Linked DNA regions of Kluyveromyces lactis. The protein of the gene in region 1 purifies or fractionates together with the protein of each later gene. This does not show direct contact. Links are inferred from orthologs where the notes say so. Each region holds a gene or a part of one and is shown on either strand. Other genes may lie near its edges.

The links.
Region 2: the proteins of DNA2 (region 1) and LCD1 purify together in Saccharomyces cerevisiae (affinity purification with mass spectrometry; 3 studies listed by BioGRID). This does not show direct contact. The link is inferred for Kluyveromyces lactis from reciprocal best matches to the Saccharomyces cerevisiae genes DNA2 and LCD1.

What each region holds. Positions count from the first base shown.
Region 1 is NC_006037.1:471,984-483,759, forward strand, and holds DNA2 (bifunctional ATP-dependent DNA helicase/ssDNA endodeoxyribonuclease DNA2), read left to right. Parts: upstream 1-6,353; coding exon 6,354-10,691; downstream 10,692-11,776. Other genes in the region: U4/U6-U5 snRNP complex subunit PRP8, read left to right, coding at 1-4,382; KLLA0_A05302g (uncharacterized protein), read left to right, coding at 4,774-5,895. UniProt on the Saccharomyces cerevisiae protein: Key enzyme involved in DNA replication and DNA repair.
Region 2 is NC_006039.1:146,588-158,255, forward strand, and holds LCD1 (Lcd1p), read right to left. Parts: upstream 5,325-11,668; coding exon 3,330-5,324; downstream 1-3,329. Other genes in the region: TOS4 (Tos4p), read right to left, coding at 152-1,723; RPL37A (60S ribosomal protein eL37), read left to right, coding at 2,348-2,354, 2,862-3,121; EMG1 (18S rRNA pseudouridine methyltransferase), read left to right, coding at 6,247-7,005; pheromone-regulated protein PRM1, read left to right, coding at 7,384-9,315; SKG3 (Skg3p), read left to right, coding at 10,823-11,668. UniProt on the Saccharomyces cerevisiae protein: Forms a complex with the serine/threonine kinase MEC1 which activates checkpoint signaling upon genotoxic stresses.

The DNA.
Region 1 (11,776 bases):
TGAATAGAATTAAAAAACTATTGCTAACCCAAAGATTATTCAAGCCAATACAACTAACAATGATGGATCATTATCAACACATATCTCCAGTCTATAACGTTGATCCGTTGGAGAAAATTACCGATGCATATCTTGACCAGTATCTATGGTATGAAGCTGACAGAAGGCAGCTTTTCCCTAGTTGGATAAAGCCAGGTGACTCAGAAATCCCGCCACTTCTTGTTTACAAATGGTGTCAAGGCATTAACAACTTAGATTCTGTATGGGACATCAGCAAAGGGCAATCGACCGTATTGTTGCAAACTGATTTACAAGAATTCGTTGAAAAGATGGATTTGACACTAATAAACAGGCTCCTAAGGTTAATTATCGATCCGACATTAGCGGATTACATTACTGCAAAGAATAATGTCAGTTTGATCTTTAAGGATATGAATCATGTTAACAAATATGGTCTAATAAGGGGATTACAATTTGCACCATTTGTTTATCAATTTTATGGTTTAATGATTGATATTCTCATCTTGGGACATGAAAGGGCACAGGAACTAGCAGGCCCTCCAAACGAACCATCTGAATTCTTGCAATTTCCAGATAAAGCTACTGAAACGAAGAGCCCAATTCGCCTCTACTCACGCTATCTTGACAAAATCCATATTTTATTCCACTTTGAAGAATCTGAGTCTGATGAGCTTATCCAAGACTATTTGATGGAAAACCCCGATCCAAATTTTGAAAATTCTGTTGGTTATAACAACAAGAAATGCTGGCCTAGAGACGCCCGCATGAGGTTAATCAGACACGATGTTAATCTAGGTCGTGCTGTTTTCTGGGAACTTACATCTAGGGTACCAAAATCACTTGTTAACATAACGTGGGAGAATACTCTTTCTTCAGTTTATAGCAAGAATAATCCTAATTTACTTTTCACTATGTGCGGTTTTGAGGTGAGAATACTACCGAAATCTCGGATGGAAGATGTCATTTCTCATGATGAGGGTGTATGGGATTTGGTGTTGGACTCCACAAAAGAACGGACTGCCAAAGCGTTTTTACAGGTATCACAAGAAGCTATTGATGAGTTTAGAGGTCGTATTCAAAGTATTTTGATGGGTTCCGGCTCCACAACTTTTACAAAAATTGTGGGCAAATGGAATACTGCACTAATCGCTTTGTTTACCTATTTTAGAGAATCTATCGTCACGACAGAACCGTTACTCGACTTACTCGTGAAATCTGAGACTAGAGTTCAAAATAGAGTAAAACTCGGCTTAAATTCTAAAATGCCAACAAGGTTCCCTCCAGCAGTGTTTTATACACCTAAAGAGTTAGGTGGTTTGGGAATGCTCAGCGCATCGCACATTTTAATTCCCGCTTCTGACTTGAGGTGGTCAAAACACACAGATACTGGAATAACACATTTCAGGGCAGGGATGTCCCACGAAGATGAGAAGATGATACCAACAATTTTCCGATACATTACTACCTGGGAGAACGAATTTTTGGACTCACAGAGAGTATGGGCGGATTATGCTGCTAAAAGACAAGAAGCCATAAAACAAAATCGTAGGTTGGCATTTGAAGAATTAGAGGGTTCTTGGGATAGAGGTATACCGCGGATCAGTACCATATTCCAAAAAGATAGGCATACGCTAGCCTATGATAAGGGTCACAGGATTAGGCGACAATTCAAAGAGTATTCAGTGGAACGTAGTAATGCTTTCTGGTGGACAAATAATCGTCATGATGGTAAATTATGGAACTTGAATGCCTATCGTACGGATGTCATTCAGGCCTTAGGGGGTATCGAAACAATTCTTGAGCACACATTATTTAAAGGAACTGGCTTTAAATCATGGGAAGGACTTTTCTGGGAGAAAGCCTCTGGTTTTGAAGATTCAATGCAGTTCAAGAAACTTACTCATGCACAAAGAACTGGTTTGAGTCAGATCCCTAATCGTAGGTTTACGTTATGGTGGTCTCCGACGATTAATAGAGCGAACGTCTACGTTGGGTTTTTGGTGCAATTGGATTTAACAGGAATATTCTTGCACGGTAAAATTCCAACATTGAAGATATCTTTAATTCAAATTTTCCGAGCACATCTATGGCAAAAAATCCACGAAAGTGTGGTTTTCGACATCTGTCAAATTCTGGACGGCCAAATGGATATACTACAGATTGAATCTGTTCAAAAAGAATCAATTCATCCACGTAAGTCGTATAAGATGAATTCGTCTGCTGCTGACATCACATTGAACAGTATTTACAAATGGAAGGTTAGCAGACCAACATTGTTGCATCAGACGAAAGATTCTTTCGACGCTACCACAACTGACAAAATGTGGATCGATGTGCAGCTTAGATATGGTGACTATGATTCTCATGATATATCAAGATATGTCCGTGCGAAATTTTTAGATTACACCACAGATAACGTGAGCTTGTACCCGTCTCCTACTGGTATTATGATCGGTATTGACTTGGCCTATAATATTTACGACTCCTATGGAACGTGGTTTGAGGGATTGAAGCCCTTGATACACAACGGTATGAAAACAATAATGAAAGCTAATCCAGCACTTTACGTTTTGAGGGAGCGTATCAGGAAAGGTCTTCAGATATATCAATCTCAAGTTCAAGAGCCATTTTTGAACTCATCCAACTACGCAGAGCTATTTTCCAATGACACAAAATTCTTTATCGATGATACGAATGTTTACCGGGTCACTGTTCATAGAACTTATGAAGGCAATGTGGCTACTAAGCCTATCAACGGATGCGTGTTTACTTTAAATCCGAAAACAGGTGAACTATATTTGAAAATAATTCACACTTCGGTGTGGGCGGGGCAGAGCAGATTGGCTCAATTGGCAAAATGGAAAACCGCAGAAGAAGTAAGTGCATTGGTTAGATCGTTACCCAAAGAAGAACAACCTAAACAAATTATAGTTACTAGAAAAGCTATGATGGACCCTATGGAAGTACACATGTTAGATTTCCCAAACATTTCGATTCGTCCAACTGAGCTCAGATTACCTTTTTCTTCTGTTTTGAACATAGAAAAATTAAATGATGTTGTTTTAAGCGCTACAGAACCGCAGATGGTTTTGTTCAACATTTATGATGACTGGCTAACTCGAGTTTCTGCCTACACTGCTTTCTCTAGATTGATATTGCTATTAAGAGCGCTCAAAACCAATGAAGAAAAAGCCAAAATGATTCTATTAGAGGATCCTACAATCCCAACGAGAGCTAATCATCTATGGCCTTCTTTTACTGATGATCAGTGGATTGAAATTGAGACGAAGATGCGTGATCTAATTCTCTTAGAGTATGGTCAAAAATACAATGTAAACATTGCTTCTTTGACTCAAACTGAAATCAAGAATTTGATTTTAGGACAGAACATTAGAGCTCCATCTGTTCAGAGGCAGAAGATGGCAGAATTGGAGGCTGCAAGAAATCAGAAAACTGATGAGTCGTCGCAGTCTGCCACGGCAGCCATGAAGCTAAAAACAATCAATGCTCAAGGTGAAGAAATTACAGTGGTGTCATCCAGCAATTATGAGTCCCAATCTTTCAGTTCGAAAAATGCTTGGCGGTCAAATGCAATCTCCAATTCATTGCTACATTTGAAGCTTAAGAACATATATGTTACTGCCGAAGATTTTGTAGAAGATAAAGATGTCCTCGTATTCCCACGGAACTTGTTGAAGAAGTTTGTCACAATAGCTGATGTCGATGTCCAAATTGCAGGGTATATGTACGGGTCACCTGTAAAAGATCACCCTAATGTGAAGGAAATTAAGACGATAGCACTTGTCCCTCAACTCGGCAGTTCCGCAACTGTTCGCATATCTCCTCCCCCCTCATCTTCCAAATATCTCAACGACATGGAACTGTTGGGATGGATACATACCCAAAAAGTCGATTCCAAATTCATGTCACCATCTGAAGTGATCACTCATTCCAAAATGTTTTCAGATCATAACGAAAGTGCTGTTGATTTGTGCATAAATCTAATCCCAGGTGCCGTATCAATTACAGGATATACGTTAAGCACTACGGGTTTCAACTGGGGCTTACAATCGAAAGACATAACGGACCCTTCACCAGAAGGGTTTGAAGCTTCATTTAGCGAGACTGCACAGATTTTATTATCTGAACGCATTATGGGCAATTTCTTGGTACCTTCGTCATCGATATGGAATTACGCTTTCATGGGAACTGCTTTTAGCGAAGATCTACCTTACGAATTGAAATTAGACATCCCACTAGAGTTCTATAATGAACTCCATCGTGCTCCTCACTTCATACAATTCTCTGAACTTGCTGGAGATGAGGAATTAGAACCGGATCAAGAAAATCTATTCGCTTAAGCGAAGGAGAATACAGATAATTTCTCTATAATTGTTATATATTTTTTTAAAACCATTTTACATTTATATTAGGCATCTGACCTGCATTTGCCCTTACATCAACCGTATAAGACGGTTTGGAATGGCGTTTTAGGCTCTACGATTTTCATATTATCATAAAAGTGAAGTAGTCATAATGTGCTTGTTCCATCTGACTTCCAAACTTTCACGTGACTTCTCTCTGAGAGGTAATACTGAATATTTAAAAAGTAGACAAGGAACTTCGTCCCTTGAAGATATTGCACATCGACTCTCCGATGGAGACGGTTAAACAAACAGTTTAACCAAAGTGATTATTGGTGCATATTGGAAGAAACTAGTTACTTTCAATAAAGGAAGCCGTGAAATAATAATGGCGCGAACAACTACCAAGAGAAATGTCTCTGCAGCAACACGACCACAAAGAAAGAATCCATTGAGATTTAAACCAGGTAACTCTGGACCGAAATATAACAGGCCCAACGCAGCAGGTCCTAAAAAAACGGATCATATGATAGCTGCAACTTCTACTAACGCGAATCAAACATCTAACTCTGATAAATCTTCTAAATTTCTCCCAATGTCTGGTCATGAAATGAACGCAGCTAAGTACATTATGGAACTAACGAGATTAGGTTACTCGTTTGACAAAGTACAAAAAGGCTCCAAATCAAATTACAACTTTCTATCAAAAATGTATAATGCCCTTAGACTACCCGTTAATATTGACTCTGGTGACATATCGTCAAATGAAGAGAATGATGTGAAAATAGCAGTTAAAGAGAATTTACTTACAAAGCCAACTGCTTTCCAAAATTCTATTGAAAAGCAAGAGACACCAAAGCTATCACAAAATGAAACCGAAGCCACAGAATTTAATCAAAGTACCTCTGCACCAAATGTTTCTAATACTAAAAATAGGTCGTTCGCACTGCCAGAGGAACGGGAACTAACGGCAATCGATTCAATTGCATCAGAAATGAATGAAGAAAAGCTTGGAATGGCATTATATGAGCAGACATCCCGTATACTCATGAAGACGAGGCTAAATTTACTGAAGCTAAAGGCTGCAGCAAACAAAAGAGTACCGAAGTTTAGCAAAGAACTGGAAGCGTCTCTCAAAAAGAAGAAAGATTTACTGATTTCAGATATTGAAAGTTTCTATTCCACAATTGGGTTACGAGATGAGTTCGCTCCAGGAATGAACGATGATTTCATCGAATTGGGAGATTCTTTTATGGATAAAAGCAACCACGACGAACATATAGTCAATGATGAAAACGAACTGCCGAAACGTCTACAAAGTCCGGATCAACATATCAGTATGGCGAACTCTAAAACTTATCAACTCAATCTCAATCAAGCTAGTAACGGCCTAGTAGAACCATCCACAATCATACAGGACAGTGTCATTAAATTAAAGAAGTCTACACCAGATCACTTTACCCCGTATCAATCCCTCAATTTAACGAAAAGAACTCAACCTAATACTTAATACTAACGCGTTCGTACGTAAAATTCTGACGTATCAACTCACCGTTTCCGTTCATTATCATGACGTTTATCAAACAATATAATTTATAAAGGAATGCACGAAAATGCATCAATATTTGTGAGAGGACCAAAGTGTCGGTTCTATACATCCAATGTAAGTCGTACCCTAGCCCTGCGATTGCCTTTTGCCATGCGCAATGTTTTGGTTTGGAATCAGAAAATGTTGATCTCTAAAAAACGTAAATATTAAAACAATACACATAAATATATCGCGAATAAGAAGAACTATTTGAATATCTTCAAACGCGAAGAGAGAAAAGCCCAACTGCCAATCAGTCAACTTTAGGATTAGTGAATTGGTGGTAACCCAAATGGTGGGGATTCAAGAAGCAGAAAAAGAAGCATACTGTTGTACAAACTCAATAGCAATAAGGCTTTGAATTCTTTACTGGAAACACGATGGTTTCTACCCCAAAGAAAAAACGTACCGCCAGTGTTTCTATATCGCCATTTAAGAAGGATACGGATGCTATTTCAGTGGATTATAAAGGGAAACCTAAAAAGAAACCAAGTAAATCTTACCATTTTGCCCCCCTGAACCGGCTTAGCAGTGAAGAACCAATTTTGAAATCGATACCGATCTCAAGAGTACGAAATGTGGAAGCTGGAAGTTCCGTCAAAGATACTGTCAATGCGAAAACTAGTGGCAAAACAAAGCTTGCATCTAAAAGAATTATCAATAGCACAAAGACTAGAAGGGAAAAATCGACTGAAGCTGTGCCAGAAACGAGGTATAGCGATGGTCCGTCGGAAGAAGTAATATGGAGATACTCTCCTAGGAAAATTGATGAGCAATTATGTAACCATTATAATACTGGAAACGACGATAATAACTCCGATGAATTAAGTCAAGATATGCCTCTAGGTCAATCTTCTACTCCATTGATCAACGATAAGTTTAAAGATGTGATTGATTTTGAGAACATGGATCCCAACAGCATTGATAAAGAATGCAGGAAAATTGCACAAGGATCTCCTGTAAAAAGAGGAGAAAAGGATGTCACACCTATGAGAGATATACACGAAATTTTAAACGACTTAGAAGGTCCTAAGTTGCTTCCGCCTTCTTCACCAATTTGCTCGGAACCAGTTGTTATAGACGATGACCCTGTAGAAAATCTTCCGGAGCTGGCATCAGAGAGTATTTCAAATCATAAGCATACTACAACTAATGGCATAGAACGCACGTTCACAATGTATCCTCCTCAGATCAATATAGATGACGACGAGGATGAGGACGATTCGTTAATTGATATTCTCACACAAAGATTCACAAAGCCAGTCATCACAGAATGCAATGAAGAATCAGAGGAATCAGATGCTTCCTTATTAGAACTTCTTGATGAGGAAAAGCCAGCTACACTCCCTCAACTTCAAGTGAGAAAAATTGAACGCATTGAAGTTATGCTTGAATCAGAGGATGAAAATGTGGAAGACTCTGTAAAATCAAATGAAAATCAAACCGATCATCTGCTTAATAACAAAGCCGATGTGGTTGAAAGGTATGTTAACTTGGCTAAATTCCCATTCCCTCAACGCGGCTGTCAAAGACTATGTATTTTTGAAATCAAGGAAATGAAATCACCAGCGCAAATAATTCTCACATGCTTCAATCAGGATGCTGGAAAAGTTAACCTAATTCTCAGAGATCCATGGATTCGTTTCAGATACGAGCAAGGAATGATTATTCACCTAATAGAAGGTGACCACTTTCCTAATAAACGGCTTCTTTCAAATGACAAAGACCCTAAAACAGGCCTCGAAAATGATAATTTATTGATCGTGTATCCGGATGTTCTTCTTTCTGCCACTGCAATTGGGACTGCCATGGATTGCGAAAGGCGTGCCGTTTTATCTTCAAAATTTAATGAACCCGGTGAATACTCGCTTGCAGCTGTCTTAGGTAACATTATTCACGCGTTGGTCCAGGAAGTGTTAAAATTGAAGCTGTTGGAGCCGAATCAGTTTCTCTCAAAAGGCTTAGCTCTCGAAATTCTGGACAAAGTCATAAAACCATTCACTACGGAGGTGAATATGTGTGGAGAATCTGTCGAATCAGTGATTAAAACGATTTCAGATGAGCATTTACCTTTTATCATAGAATTTGTGAACATTTATGTCACTAAGGACAATTCAAGGTCCTGGATTCAAGTAATTGGAACAAAAAATAAACGTAAATTATCTGTTTCTCAGATCGTTGATATTGAAGAGAACATTTGGTCATCAAAGTATGGATTGAAAGGATATATAGATGTCACTGTTGAGACGAATGTTGATTCAGACGGTAAAAAGTTGTTAGCTCCCGTGGAGATAAAGACAGGGAAATGGAAATCTAATGCACACGAGGCACAGGGTCTAATTTATACATTGCTTCTCCAGGATAGATATGACATCCCTGTAAATTTGCACATGATGTTGTATACTAAGCTAAGAGAGTTCTCATTACAACCCAAAATTTTAATATCGCTAAAGCATCTGCTTAACCTCAGAAATAAACTTGCGACATACCTACAAGTAATGAATGAAGAGATGTCTGATTGGGGTGGACCACAACATGAATTACCCGCAATGATACAGAACTCCAAGTGCGATCAATGTTTCATGAAGACATCTTGCATGGTGCTCAACAAGTTAAGTGACAAAGAACAAACGCCAGGATTGCTAAAGCATGAATATACTGATTTAACCAGACATCTTGAAGCACAAGGCTCACAGGTCCTAGAGCTCTTTCGGTCGTTTTACGGCAAGTACGATAGGCTTTTAATGATGGAAGAAACTAGCATAACAAGTGTCACTAAAGATACTTTCCTTATGTCGGGCACAGATCGAGAGGCTCAAACAGGACATTGCATAAGTCAGCTTACCATAAAGAATGTACAGGATCAGGGAAACGGGAGATATCTGTACACTTTCTGCCGCGAAAACGATATTCAAGGGTCATTTGCCACTTCCAATGCAGAACAACAGGAGACCAAGAAACTCAAGAGCGCTCCACCTAGCATGCTCTCGTCAGATATCCATAAAGGAGATTATATAATGATCAGTAACGACACCTCTGGCCAGTTAGCCATTGGAACTGGTCATGTCTCTGAAATCGCTAACGATTTCATTGTGATAAATTGTGCGAGAAACATTCTGGCAAACAATATTCATGGTGATTCTTTTGATAGAAATACGAGACAAGTAGTTCGAAGTGTTTTACTTAAACAAAAAGAGCCATTGAACGAGAAACAAAGCTTGACAAATAGTCACCGATATCGTATTGATAAAAATGAGAGTGCTACAGGACTTACTTTGGCTCGTTACAACCTTCTAAATCTCTTTCTTCCAGAAGTCCTTATTGAAGCTGAATTCTCACCGCAAAAATCTGGAGAAAAATTACAGCTTCCTGTTAAAAGATCTCTTGGGGGTTACAGCAGGGGTCGTAGGCTCATTGTAGAGCTTTCCGAACCGAAATGGACGACTCATGCGGCCAGAATACCAACTCTTAATGACAGCTTTAATGAAAACCAGAAAATGGCGATTGAACGTTCGCTCACCTGCCGTGACTACAACTTGATTTTAGGAATGCCTGGAACTGGTAAGACATCAGTTATTTGTGAATTAGTTTCAATATTGGTAAATCAGGGAAAATCTGTCATGGTGACAAGCTACACCAATTCAGCTGTCGATAATATTATAATGAAGCTAACTTCGCGTATCCCTCGCTCTAAGATGGTACGTTTGGGATCTGGACGTCGAGTCCATGATTTGGTCAAACCATATTGCATAACAGAGATGTTAGATGGTGATAACGAGAACTTGTCGGAAATAATCGATGCAGCACAAGTGGTCGGTGTAACGTGTCTCGGTATTAATGATCCGTGGTTACAAATGCGAAATGGTGATTTTGATTATGTTATATTAGATGAAGCCAGTCAAGTTTCGCTACCTGTCGCCATTGGTCCATTAAGGTTCGGATATAAGTTCATATTAGTCGGAGACCATTATCAATTACCGCCATTAGTGAAGAACTCATTTGCACGTGACAATGGTCTACAAGAATCGTTATTCGAAAAATTGTGTCATTCGCATCCTCAAAGCGTTGTTGAACTACAATTACAATACCGTATGAATGCAGAGATCATGTCTCTTTCCAACGTGTTGATATACGGAGGAAAGTTACAATGTGGTACTGACGAAATCCGCAGACAAGTCTTACAATTCCCAAACAACTATAAATGCTCACAGGACACATGGCTGCAGAAGGCTATCAATCCCGAACAACCTGTGGTGATATTGGATCATGATGGCTTCCAGTCAACAAGTAACCAGCAGTTCGTTGAACAGAATGATCATGGCCAGCTAAGCAACGTTGGCGAAGCCAACGTCGTCAATGAAGTGGTGCGAGAGTTACTTGCACATGGTATCGAGGTGGACCAAATTGGTGTGATGTCTATGTACAAGGCGCAGATGTCGTTATTGAAGACGACATTGGAAGATCTAGACATTGATGTGTTAACCGCAGATCAATTCCAAGGAAGAGATAAAGACTGTATAATAATATCCATGGTGAGAAGTAATCCGGACCAGGCCAGCGGTGTGCTACTACGAGATTTAAGAAGAATTAACGTGGCTGTGAGCAGGGCGAAGAAGAAGCTGATCATCATTTGTTCCTGGAAATGCATATCTAAGATTCATCCACTGAAACCCTTCGTAGATCACGTGGCTAGAAACAATTGGATAACAAAGATGTGATCAACTTGAATTCTTCCCCTACGAAAGATCTAGCCATTTGATCCATATGTCCAGGTGACTGCTTTGTTCTAGATGACCATCACATACAGATATTATATACATATATATATATATATATATATATATATATACGTATCCATTGGTACAGGTTATTCTGCGTCATGTCTTTCATTCCCCCAACATATTTAATTCGTTTTTATTTTTGGCAAACCTGCATCATCGTAGTGCCATGCAGCTGGCGTAGAAACGATACGGACAAAAGAGAGAAAAAAAGTGATCAATCAGAGACAGAGAATGCATTAAACCGGTACTTAGACAAGCTGTTTAACCAACAGATATCATATAACTCTCATCTGGAAGAAAAGAAGACATGAAAACGTGGAGTTAACCCACTAGCAGCCGCTCATCTCAGTTCAGGGCTTATTGGTATACAAATTCCTGCAAGGGATTAAGAGTGAAAGATAAGACACAAAGATACAACGTAGAGATGGCTTTTTGTGCAGTATTAGTCCGTATTTGGTTGACTCTTCCGCCAAGATAATCACGTAGTCAGAAGATAAATGAGGGAAAATAACCGACGTCCAAGCAGGTAAATACGGACAGGTACATGCTACTTTTTACAGGTTGATCATCCAGTACTAGAAATGGAAATACGAGACACGTAGATATTCCTTAAAATATGTCGCAGGCACAGACGCGGCTAAAGGCTCCAAATTCTACAGATCACCTGGGAAACCCGGCACATTGTGGAGATCGCTTTTCCCCAACGTATTCTGTAAAGCGCAATTCCCTCAACCAAAGGAAAATCAAAAAGGAAAATGAGAATAAAAAAAACAACAACAACAAAGATCACCTGATTAACCTCAAATAGAACTTCCCGAAGCACAAGTGCCTAGATTTTCAAACATGTACGTGTTTCTCTTACGGCACACGAAACCAATCATTCCATGTCCTTCGATGAGACTCCATTAGGTTCCATATTGCTCTTTTTTTGAGGCAATTGGAAAACCGCGTTCATTAAAGAATATCATGGAACAGGAGAGAATATCATCCATCACCGTTCCGCGGATAGGCCGCGGAAAGAG
Region 2 (11,668 bases), on another chromosome or scaffold:
ACTAAACAGTTTACGCAAGCTGTTGTAATTTTAGTGGACTTTTACCTATAAAATACGATGAACCTTTTTTTTCTATTACATTTATTGCCTATGTATATATTTGTTTCTTCGACGCCTTGTGTTAAAAAGCAAGTCGAGCAGAATTTTTAGATTATTTAGTTGGTTTCTTCCAGAAATACTGTTTATGCACTCTCCTGCATGATCTTAAACCAGATCTGCCACCCTTGAGTGATGCTACCAGCTGTCTTCTGTCATCGTCAGGATCATTTTCTGCATCATAGTAGTATTCTTCATCCAGTGGCTTTCCTGCGGCATCTTTTCCTGTACGGTAAATTACTCCGATACATTGTTCGTCATTCAAAATAGCGCGCAGTTCTGTGCGGCTTAACTTCGAGACAACAGAGTTAACATCCTGCAATTGAAAGAGTGGCACTTGTTGAATGTTAGAGAATGCTAAGTGATTGGACAATACATGCTGTAATTCTTTGTAATCTACCCCCCTTGTAGTCAAAGAGGAAAGAGTTTGTTCTTTTGAAGCTTCATCACTGTCAATTTGCTTTCTTGATTTCTTTTTGGATTTCTTCTTTGGCGAGGGAGTGTTTAACTTACGACGACGGACTTCATCGGCGTTCTCATCCACCTTAACCTTGCTAGGTGTAGTCATGTCCTTAACTGGAGTACTTGCTTCTAATTTCTTCGGAGCATTTGGAGTCTTTATTGTGAAAGAGCTATATGGGGTCAGCTTGCACTTGGTACGTTCCACATTAGGTCTTTCAGTATCAGAAGTATGTCTTATAGCCACTGGTAAAACCGATGGTTTCATGCACTGAGGTGTCGGTGGCGAACACTCGACTGTGCTCATTGGTATCATATTAGCAACAGATTCCTGTTCTTCCAACGAGAAGTCTTCGTCATGGAATTCATCACTGTGTAAGTCGACTTTTGTCAGTTCATCTTCAGTTTCCGTATCATTTTTGGCATCTTCTTCATCAGTTGTAACATCTTGTAATCTAACACGAGCCTCACATTGTCTGAAGTCGAATATTGTGTCCTTGATATATGGCATAATGACTGTTTCACCTTTCAATAGTACAAATGATGTCAAATAAGTTGATTTCAACAACTGCTTTTCCTCTGGAGAAATGATTTGTTCGTTATCATGTAATTGGTCCTGTGTTACTAGCTCGTAAACATCTGAAGCTTTTGATCTTTTAACCAATACATGTGACAGCTTCTTCGGGAAGGAAATAACGAGACCATTTGTACCATTGCATTCGAGTTTTAATTGGTTGGAAGGTGAGATATAAGAAATGAAAGCATGTTGTCTGGAGATATTTTTTCCGCGAGGAAGATGTATATCACATACAGATTTTTTGCGCCCAATTGCCAATCGTGAGTTATCTCTCGGATCTAGCGAAATATCGATTAGGCTAACTTTCTTCAATTCGGTCTCCAGATGTTTTTCCATTTCGTAATCAGATGATAATATCTCACCTGCTTGATCTCTCATTGGGGAAGAGGAACGACCAACAGTAGAAGAGGGATGTGGAGTTGGATAATTTTTGACATTACCTTGCTTTAAGTCGTCTTTGTCCTTGAACAACTTCAAACTGGCAGATGAGACCACGGATTCAGTATCTTTCTCTGGGTGATAAAATGGATTTTCTAAATCATATTGATGTGAGCTCGCAATAGGAGATGAAGGAGGAAACTGCGAGTTCATGACCTCGTGTCTTTTCTTTCTTTGGTTTAATCTCTGTTAACGTTCAGGTGCTTCAGTTTTAACCCTTTAGAATCTGATATTAGATTTTCCAAGTAGCAGTATCTTTGTTGCCTTTCTATGACAGGACACTCCAAAAACAATACTACAGAATCGTTTTGTCTTAGATAGATGTTAATAAACGTAAAAGAACTTACTACAACCTAAAGTCTCTTCATTTCTCAACTGAATATGAACTTCATACTAACTTCAAACTACAAAATATGCGTCGCGTCGTTTCCTTGTATTTTGTCTATTTCGTAGTGGCCACTTTTCGCGTTATTCCCCAACTATCAGGACTGCTCATTTATTAAATCCGTACATCCAAGAATATTCTATACAGATAAACTAAAACTGGTGAGTTGAAAATGTATTTCCCTTTTTGGTAAATAGACGGCTCTCCGTATTTGAAATTTTCTTTTCCCTGCTTTTCGATATCGAAATTTTCCAAGGAAAGTTGTTTCAACCAAACTTTTAGAGATAATATACATTGTTCTATATCCAACTAAGGTCAATATGATAGAATAGTGCTATCATTATAGTGTTGGGTTTAGATTCAAGATAAGACAGAACCAGACATAATCAAACATGGGTAGTATGTGATAGAATACTATACATTTTGGAACATCCTTATTAAGAGCTTTGGAGTGTGATATGCATAAAGAACGAGTAAAATGGAGAAAACAATAACACAAGGAATAATTGAACCACCCGTGAGGCAGCACCAAATTAACGGAATGGACAGTCGAACTCTAATGGAATATAACGTTTGATGAGGTATATTTTGAAAAAGGCCAGAAAACGTTACGACATCGGCGAGTACGTTAGCGAATTATAATGTTCAATTTACACCTACTTATTAAACGGGAGAGAACAAGAATGAAAAAGATTTGAGAACAACGGTCGACTCATTGGAAGGATTTCTTCGGAAATATCAGGTTAGGTTTTATGTTACCTTCTATGAAATTTTTTGACAGATTCAACTAAGTAATAATGACCATCATATTACACTTCACCTACCTAGCTCATGTGGAGAGTTCGATTTACTCTAAGGAAACAGTTTTACTAACGATTTTTTTGCATTGTCAAATTTTTTAAACAGAGGGTACTCCATCTTTCGGTAAGCGCCACAACAAGTCTCACACTCTATGTAAGAGATGTGGCCGTAGTAGTTACCACATTCAAAAGCACACCTGTTCTTCTTGTGGTTACCCAGCTGCTAAGATGAGATCTCACAACTGGGCTGCCAAGGCTAAGAGAAGAAGAACCACTGGTACCGGTAGAATGAGATACTTGAAACACGTTTCTAGAAGATTCAAGAACGGTTTCCAATCTGGTGAAGCTAAGGCACAATCCGCTTAAACTTTGAGATTATCATGTTGTTGAAGACATATTTTTTATTATCTCATTACTTTGTATAAGCATTGTACTTCTAAATAAACCATCAATATAATCTTTTCAGAGTTCATTCCTATGAAATAATTGGAATATGCTAATATTTATCACTTTGATCAGTGTAAGTCGATGCACATGAACGCCAGTAACTGAGCTCTCTTCGCTTCCGTCTTTCTCAAGTTTCACTAACCATGGCTACATACAATGAATCCGCTTCATCCATAGTGGTTATGCTTTCGAGAATATATTTAGCCATGTCTCTCAATGGCCATGAGCTGTTGTTATTAAATTTTGAAACTGCAGATTCCCTTTTTATGTCCAATTCCTCGGAGTGCATGAATGCTGGTAAATTATCTTCATCATAAGCGTCATCAAAGTATTTCTTCTCTTCCTCTAACGCCAATGCTTTCAATGGATTTATTAGGGCAGCCCATTCTGTGGATAATTCATCTGTCGACTCAGGCCACCCATATACAATACGCCATAGACAGATTGTCAGTTCGTCTAGCCTTAAGGCACGTTTATACTCGTCACTTATCGACACCCAACAGAAGTATATCAATTTTAATAAAACTGATAACAATTCCTGTCTCTTAATATCACTGATATGGTCCCTATCCAAGAACACAGTAAGTAATAACTCTTGATGACTACTGAAAAGAGAAAAAGTCTTTTGTAGAAATTCCAACGAACATAGAGTGGATCGGTATCGATGAAGCAGTTTATGCATTATTAATGTAATATTAATTTGTATCTGAATTGACCAATACTCTAGGTTATCTAATGCTGTGAAAGTGAGAGGTTCAAACTCGTTCTCTATAATCATGGGTAAATATCGAACTTCTTCGAGACTTATAATATTATCTATCATTGAATGATTGGAGTTATCGCCACAGCACCTATTTAAACCCGCAAAGTTGAGTGACACAGAGTCAAAAGTAAGTGATCTCTCCCAATTTTGAATTAATTTTGAGAACAATACTGCCCATTTGCCTTTCCAAACGTTTTCAGCACCATCCAATTCAACTATACCGAGTAATATTTCCGTTACGTTGACGATGATTGGCATTATTGGCTTATATGAAATTGATAAAGTAAAATTGCAACATTTTATGAGGTTCTCTGCAATAGTAGCGTCATTCAATACTATTTCCTGTGCCCGCGTATTACAGTTTAGCAATATTACAATACATGTCTCTAGGACATCGAACGAATAAGTCATGCATAATTGATCAAGCATTGAATATTGAAACACGTCTGGAGAAACGTCTAAATCCAAAGGACTCTCATGCAATGGCTGTTTCAAAAATTTAGGATCAGAGATGATAAAATCTGTAATGAATTGAAATACATCCTTCAGTGAACTAACACTGGTCGCACTATGTCTAAAATTGATTGTACAATGCATCAAAGATATGAGGAAAGGGATGGCAAGTTTATTTTCCGGAAGTACACTTACTGATTTTATAGCAATAGCCAAGATCTCTAGTGTTTTATCAACTAGTTGATCGAGGGTGTAAATGGATTTCCATTTAAATATCAACGATCTAATAGGAGGGCCAAGAGGCAACCTGGCCTTAATTATTTTGTGTTCCGGGCTCAAAATAAGATCTGTCTTATAAGTACAAATGTGATCGAGCATTTCTAGAACTGTGTGCTCAGAACCAAGTAGTTTAAAATTCAGCAAATGATCATAGAAAAGGGAACCATCGTCTACTTTGAAATTCTGAGTCAATGTAACGTATTCTTTAACGGGTTCCATCCTTCTTCTTTTATTTTCAATTGGTGATGGTTCAGCAGTTTCAGTTTCGTGGGTAGTTTCAGACTTGCTGCTATTTCTGGGGGTAAATAAATGTTTCTGTTCCAGTAACATGAACTTTCGTTCATCTTCAAGTCGTTCCAATTCGATTTTAAGCTTCGTAACTTCCTCTTCATGAGAACTTTTCAGACTTGATTCCAGCTTTTTCTGATTATCATCATGTTCCCTTAGAGTCTTTTCGAGCATACTCAGCTTCTGCCTCAAGACTCCCACTTCTCCCTTCGCTTTCATTAACTGTTCAGCTTGTGATTCTGGCGGTTTAATAGGTACCGCCATCTGGCTCATCGGAGGTCTATTCACTAGTTCTAGGATATCATCGTCATCGTCATTATCATCCCATAAATCTGCCATATTGGCCTAGGTTGGTTTTTCTTGTTTTTGTTTGACGCGTTCATGGTAATGTTCTTGACATGAATTAACAGTTAAAGGTTAAATCAAATTCTGTGGTCTTAAGGTGTAAACAAATATGCAGATGATCTGCATTAGCTGAAAGAGAAAAAAAATACATAGTTTCTTGGTTTCACTGTTGTTGACCTTCATTCCCCATTAACGCTGATAACATGTCGCTATAATGCCCTTATACTCGCTGAATTAAAGTCCCGTAACTTCTATATCTCTTTCTGTACACTCTTTGAATGTATTACAATATTTATTAATGATATTTGACTTAATGCTGGCATAGAGTTGTAAAATATAAAAAAGATTATATTAACATATTGAAACAATCAATGTCATATTCACAATCATAATAAGAAAAGTTTCTTTCAGAAGGATATTGCTATGGTTAAAATTGTTAATCATTTAAATGAATGGTCTAGAAAGATCATTTATATTGACGCTACATAGAGTATTCTCTTTGCCCAGTAAATATGACATTTCAATGTTTAGTCATAAATTTACTGAAAATACTCAATCGAAAGATGGGACAAGACCCACACTCTCAGAGATGCAATTGATTTACATTCTACCATGTTACAACGAACGCATGTATCGAATGGCGATTTCATGCCTTGAAATCCCTTCCCTCTTGTCATTTGGAAGCTATGACATGCGGTGCACGGAATTTCTTTTTACTGTTTGAATTTTTTTTTTTCTATTAACCACTTCATGCTCATCGAATGGAATAGTTACAGAATAACTGGAAGAGACCATACTTTAACTACTTGCCGCATCGTTGTACCAGCTCCTGTGGTTTGTTATCGACTGAGGATAAGCTTTATTACGGTACATTTTAGTAATATAATAAGTACAAAAGAAATAATATCAAGATAATATGGTTGAAGATTCTAAGGTCAGAGATGCCATGAAAAATGGTGAGAAGAAAGTCTTGCCGGCATCATTGGTCCCTCAAGCTCCGCCAGTGCTAACATCGAAGGACAAAGTTACCAAGAGACTTATTGTGGTGCTATCCCAGGCTTCTTTAGAGACACATAAAATATCATCCAACGGTCCTGGTGGGGATAAATACGTCTTGTTGAATTGTGATGATCATCAAGGTTTGTTGAAGAAAATGGGAAGAGATATAAGCGAAGCTAGACCCGACATTACTCATCAATGTCTTCTAACCCTATTAGATTCTCCTGTAAATAAGGCTGGTAAACTTCAAGTTTATATTCAGACCAGTCGAGGCGTTCTTATCGAGTTAAACCCTACTGTACGAATTCCAAGAACTTTCAAACGTTTCTCAGGTTTAATGGTCCAATTATTGCATAAACTATCCATCAGATCAGTTAACTCTGAAGAAAAATTGTTGAAGGTCATTAAGAATCCAATTACCGACCACCTACCAACCAAATGTCGTAAAATCACCTTGTCCTTCGATGCACCTGTCATAAGAGTGCAAGACTACGTGGAAAAGTTGGATGATGATGAAAGTATATGTGTGTTTGTTGGTGCCATGGCCAGGGGTAAAGATAATTTTGCAGATGAATTTGTGGATGAAAAGATTGGTCTATCCAACTATCCATTATCTGCTTCGGTTGCATGCTCCAAGTTCTGTCATGGTTGTGAAGATGTGTGGAACATTATGTAAACATGGAAACTCGATTGTTCAAATCAGTATTATATCTCGATAAAATTAAGTAATATTATCAAATGCAGAGTTCGATAACAAAAGTCGCCATATTTTGTACATCAAGGGTAGCATTGGAGCTAGTTTATGGTGAAACACGATAGAAATTTTTCTCTGCTCTCTTTCTTATCTGCCTGTTTACGGTTAGAAGTGGCATCTCAGACGTTTTAACTTTTAAGATGTCTCAAACATGTTTCATGTAAAATAAAAAGCTTAGAACAAAGCACATATAAAAAGGAACAATACTTACAGGTGCCACCTGCTAGTAGTGAACTGCGGATAACATAATTAGAATGATAGTCTCAGTAACTCAAAAGAAAACAATGATGTACCATCGAAATGGGACATATTTACTTAAAACTTAATGAGCGTCTGTCACAGATATGGTGTAATAAATATACGATAATCATACTAGTCATGATGGTTAAGATACTATTGTTCATAAAAATGCTATCAAACGGGTTCGAAAATATAATGGATTATACCATGGAGAATTGCCGTAACATCGATTATTATTATTCCAAATATGTCAATTCTTCCCCACATTATATGGGTCTTATGGGAAACTTTCTAATTCAAAAATCTATGGAACAAAGTGTAGCATTATCGCTAAAAAGTATTTCACTGTTGGTATCTGTTTCTGAAAATGTCATAGATTTTATGATAGATCTTTGGTTGGGGACATGGGTATGCTTAATCGTCAGTGCAATTGATGGATCGGTTGATGTTGCAACGAATGCTACAGAATCTGTCATTGATTTAGTAAATGGAACAGTAAGTAGCGTCGCAGATGAGATTGATGATGGATTGAGCGGATTGACCAAAGTAGTTAATAAAGTTCTTTCGGCTGTCAATGATATTCAGAATTTCTTTAAAGGGAACGATGATGAATCAGACATTAATGATCAAGTAAAGAAAGTTAATTTAACAATAAATGGGCTGAGAACACTTTCTATTCCAAGTTCTATAGATGATAAGCTGGTGAAGCTGTCTGCTAATACACCTGATTTTGATACTGTTAAGAATAAAACTAAACAAGCAATTGCCGTTCCATTTGATATCATCAGGAATGAAATTAAATCAATTAACGCCAGTAAGCTAGTTGGAGACCCGCAGTACCTTGAAGTACCAGCAATTGATACTAGTGGTGTAAAAATATGTTCAGATAACAAGTCAGAAATAAATGAAGTCTTTGATACCATAAGAAAAGTGTTTAATGCTTCCACCATGACAATACTAATAGTTTTTATTCTTGCTGCTCTAAGTTTGATTGTGTATAACGCCTGGGCAGAGTGGAGGCAATGGATACGCCTTAAAAGATTCAGAGATCAATACAGGCATCAGACTATCATGCTTAAAAACCCATTTGATGACATGGCTGACGAAAAAGTCCCACAGAACGTCGATATATTAGAAACGTATCATCTGGTCTTCAATAGATATCAATCTGGATTTGGAAGATGGCTCAGCAGACGTATAAGTTCGAAGTTAGAAACACAACGAAATATCCAATGGTTGGTAACGTATTTGACATCTTCTACTTCGCTAACGTTATTAGCACTTGGGTTATGCGGTATTCTCATGTGTTGCGTACAATTTGCCATCATTGCGATCATTTCCAACAAGATAAACGGGAAGGAGACAGAAAAAATGATGACATCGATGTCCACAGCCATGAATGATACAGTACAACAGGGAATGACAGACTGGTCTAAATCTGCCAACCTCTACATTAACGACACGGAAACTCAAATTAATAGGCAAGTTTTTGGATGGATCCAAAATACGACAGACACAGTAAACGGTACAGTGACAGATTTAATTGAAGACATCGACAACGCAATTAGCAAAGCGTTCAATGGGACAATTTTGTACAAACCCATGGATACGGTAATGCAATGTGTCATCGGAAACAAACTGGAAGCCATATCTACAGCTCTAACATGGGTCCATAATACAGCTCAAGTGAACCTCCCCCGAGTCAACGGTTCTGAATTATACCAACAGCTTCAGCAAAACCTCACAGATTCAAACTCTACTACTTCCAGCACTGCAGAGTTACCCAATTCGACATCAATTGCAACCCAGCTCAAGGATAATCTCATCTCTGCAGCGAACAAGATTTTATCACAGTATAAGAATACTGTCGTCATAGAACTCATCGTGTCGTCTGTTTTTCTAGCACTTTACTTTTTTCAAATTCCGGTTGCCGGTATTATCCTGGCGGCACAGAAACACAAGTCAAAACATAATAATCAAAACCGTCCATAATACCGTCCAGGGTCCTACCCTCTATTTAGCATGTACAGAATATAATGGGCATACTACCAAACAAACTGCAGATTCTCTCCTCAGTCGCCTAGAAAAGAAAATATAAAATAGAAATAGATCAGAATTGGGGCAACATTACGTCAGGACCAAAAAAAAGTGGCTGTGAAAGAATTGCTACTCCTCCTGCATTGTCAATAGAATTTCCGACGTTTGAAGAGCTCTCTCACAGCAAACTGCCTATTGCTCATTTATTAAGGCCAATCTGCAGTGTCAATCATCCGGCTGTCGTCATCGTCCCATCAGTTCAAATCAGTTCAAATAGATTCGATGACAAACATGAAACATGCCGTGTGAGATGACTAAAAAAGTGCTACTCTGGCAATTTTGACTATTTAGAAAAAGTCGAAATTCCTAGAAAATCCCGTAGCAAATTCGGCCCAATTTTACAAGCCTCAATGAAACCAGTTTACGAAGATCGACTATCTCAAGGGTGGGCACTAAAACGCTTGGTGTCGCATACGCTTACATATAGCATATACTTTCCAGAAGGTGGGTCAATTGAGGGTTTTGTTGGAAATCACAACAGGGCAACTGCCCCCATGCCCCCCCTGGTCGAATAAGAAAAGCTCAATGGAATAGTTGGGGCCAATTATCAATAGAAAGAAAAAAAAAAGCGCGTCAGTTCCACATGCTTTTTTGTGGTGTCAAAGTAGCGCAGGAAGTAGTATATAGTATATCCTCGCTATAATTGTTCAAAATGGCAAACAATGTCAACAAAAGGAAGCTCAGGGTTACACCCTAGTATCTCGGAGCTACACTTTATCAGACATGATCTCAACACAGCCCTCTCTCGCTCGAGGAGCTAACAACAAACAAAACATTCACGTCTTGCCAAGATTTCAGTATCCGAATAAAGAACAAGTTTCTACCCGCAATATATAATGCAATAAATACTATAGGAAAAAAATACAATGCGTAACTGACAACAGACACAAACAGATATAGAAACCAAACCAAAAAAAAAACGAAAAATTTACATAGGATATATCCTTGTCTGGTTTACAAACTTCACTCGTAGTTTTGGCAGATCAAACTTATTTCAACTTTGCGCTTCAATTGGGGGTTTCTTTTAATCATTGATCTGGCAAGCATTAGCATCGTATTTGAAATTACTTTCTAAGTTCAAAGGCGCAGAATCCAAAAAAAATAAATATCAGAGGCCAAACCCAGAAAAGAACGAATTATAAACAGTTCAGCGAGGAATAAGTGTCTGAAAGGAAAAAAACAACAACAACAGCAGACAAGACAGATACAAAGTATCTTTGAAGCATCGGTGCTACTCAGAATTTGGATATTTAATACAGCGTTTATTTCAGTTGTATGGTACTGGAATACTGCGGTTTGCTGGCTTTTTTTTTGAATTAGCCCATTGGAACTTTGTATCTTCTTCTCTGGGTGCTTTTTGATTACTGAGAACAAAAGAGGGAAGGCACTGGCAAAAACAACGATGAAGAAGGTCTTTTCTGAAAAGCTTTCGCCGTCATCGCCAACGCTCTCATCAGCGGTGAATTTTCTAGCACCTCCAAGGAACATATTCTCTGATAGTTCTAGTACGATTGGTAGTGACAAGGGTTCTGGTAAATCGAGATCCAGATCTTCCTCATTTGGACGCATCTTCAGTAATTCAAGTGATAATGGGAGTAAAGAGAAGGCTGCAGCTTCATTGCCCAAGGAACAGACAGTGAACACACTTTCTCCCGAATTGGTACCTATCGTGACTTTGTTATCAGCACAAAGTCATAGAAGGTACCAAGAAGGAGTTTTCCTGATCTTGAAAGACTTGAAGAGTGATGGTTCTCCTGCTGATAGAGTTTGGAAAGAGGTTTTCGGTTTGCTAATAGGGACACAGTTAGCACTGTGGGATGCAACTGAGTTGGCGAAAAATGGGAATGATGCTGAAAAACTGATGAACGCGACGTTGAAACCAACGTATGTCAATTTCACAGATGCACAGTTAAGGGTACTTGATCCCTCTGACACAAGCTTGCAAGGGCCAAATTCATCTAAGAAAAACGTTGACAACACTATTGTTGTATCAACGACTCTAAAAAACAGGTACTTCTTGCAGTTCTCCGACAGAGAATCATTCCAAAAGTGGGTCTCAGCGTTCAGGCTTTCTGCATTTGAATTTACACTTTTACAAGAGGCTTATACTGGTGCATTTTTATCGACTAGAGGTGCCAAGTTGAGTGACATTCGTGTTATTTTAGCTGACACTAAGTTCGATTATGAGGACTGGGTCAGCGTTAGATTTGGTGCAGGTATGCCATGGAAACGTTGTTATGCAGTTATC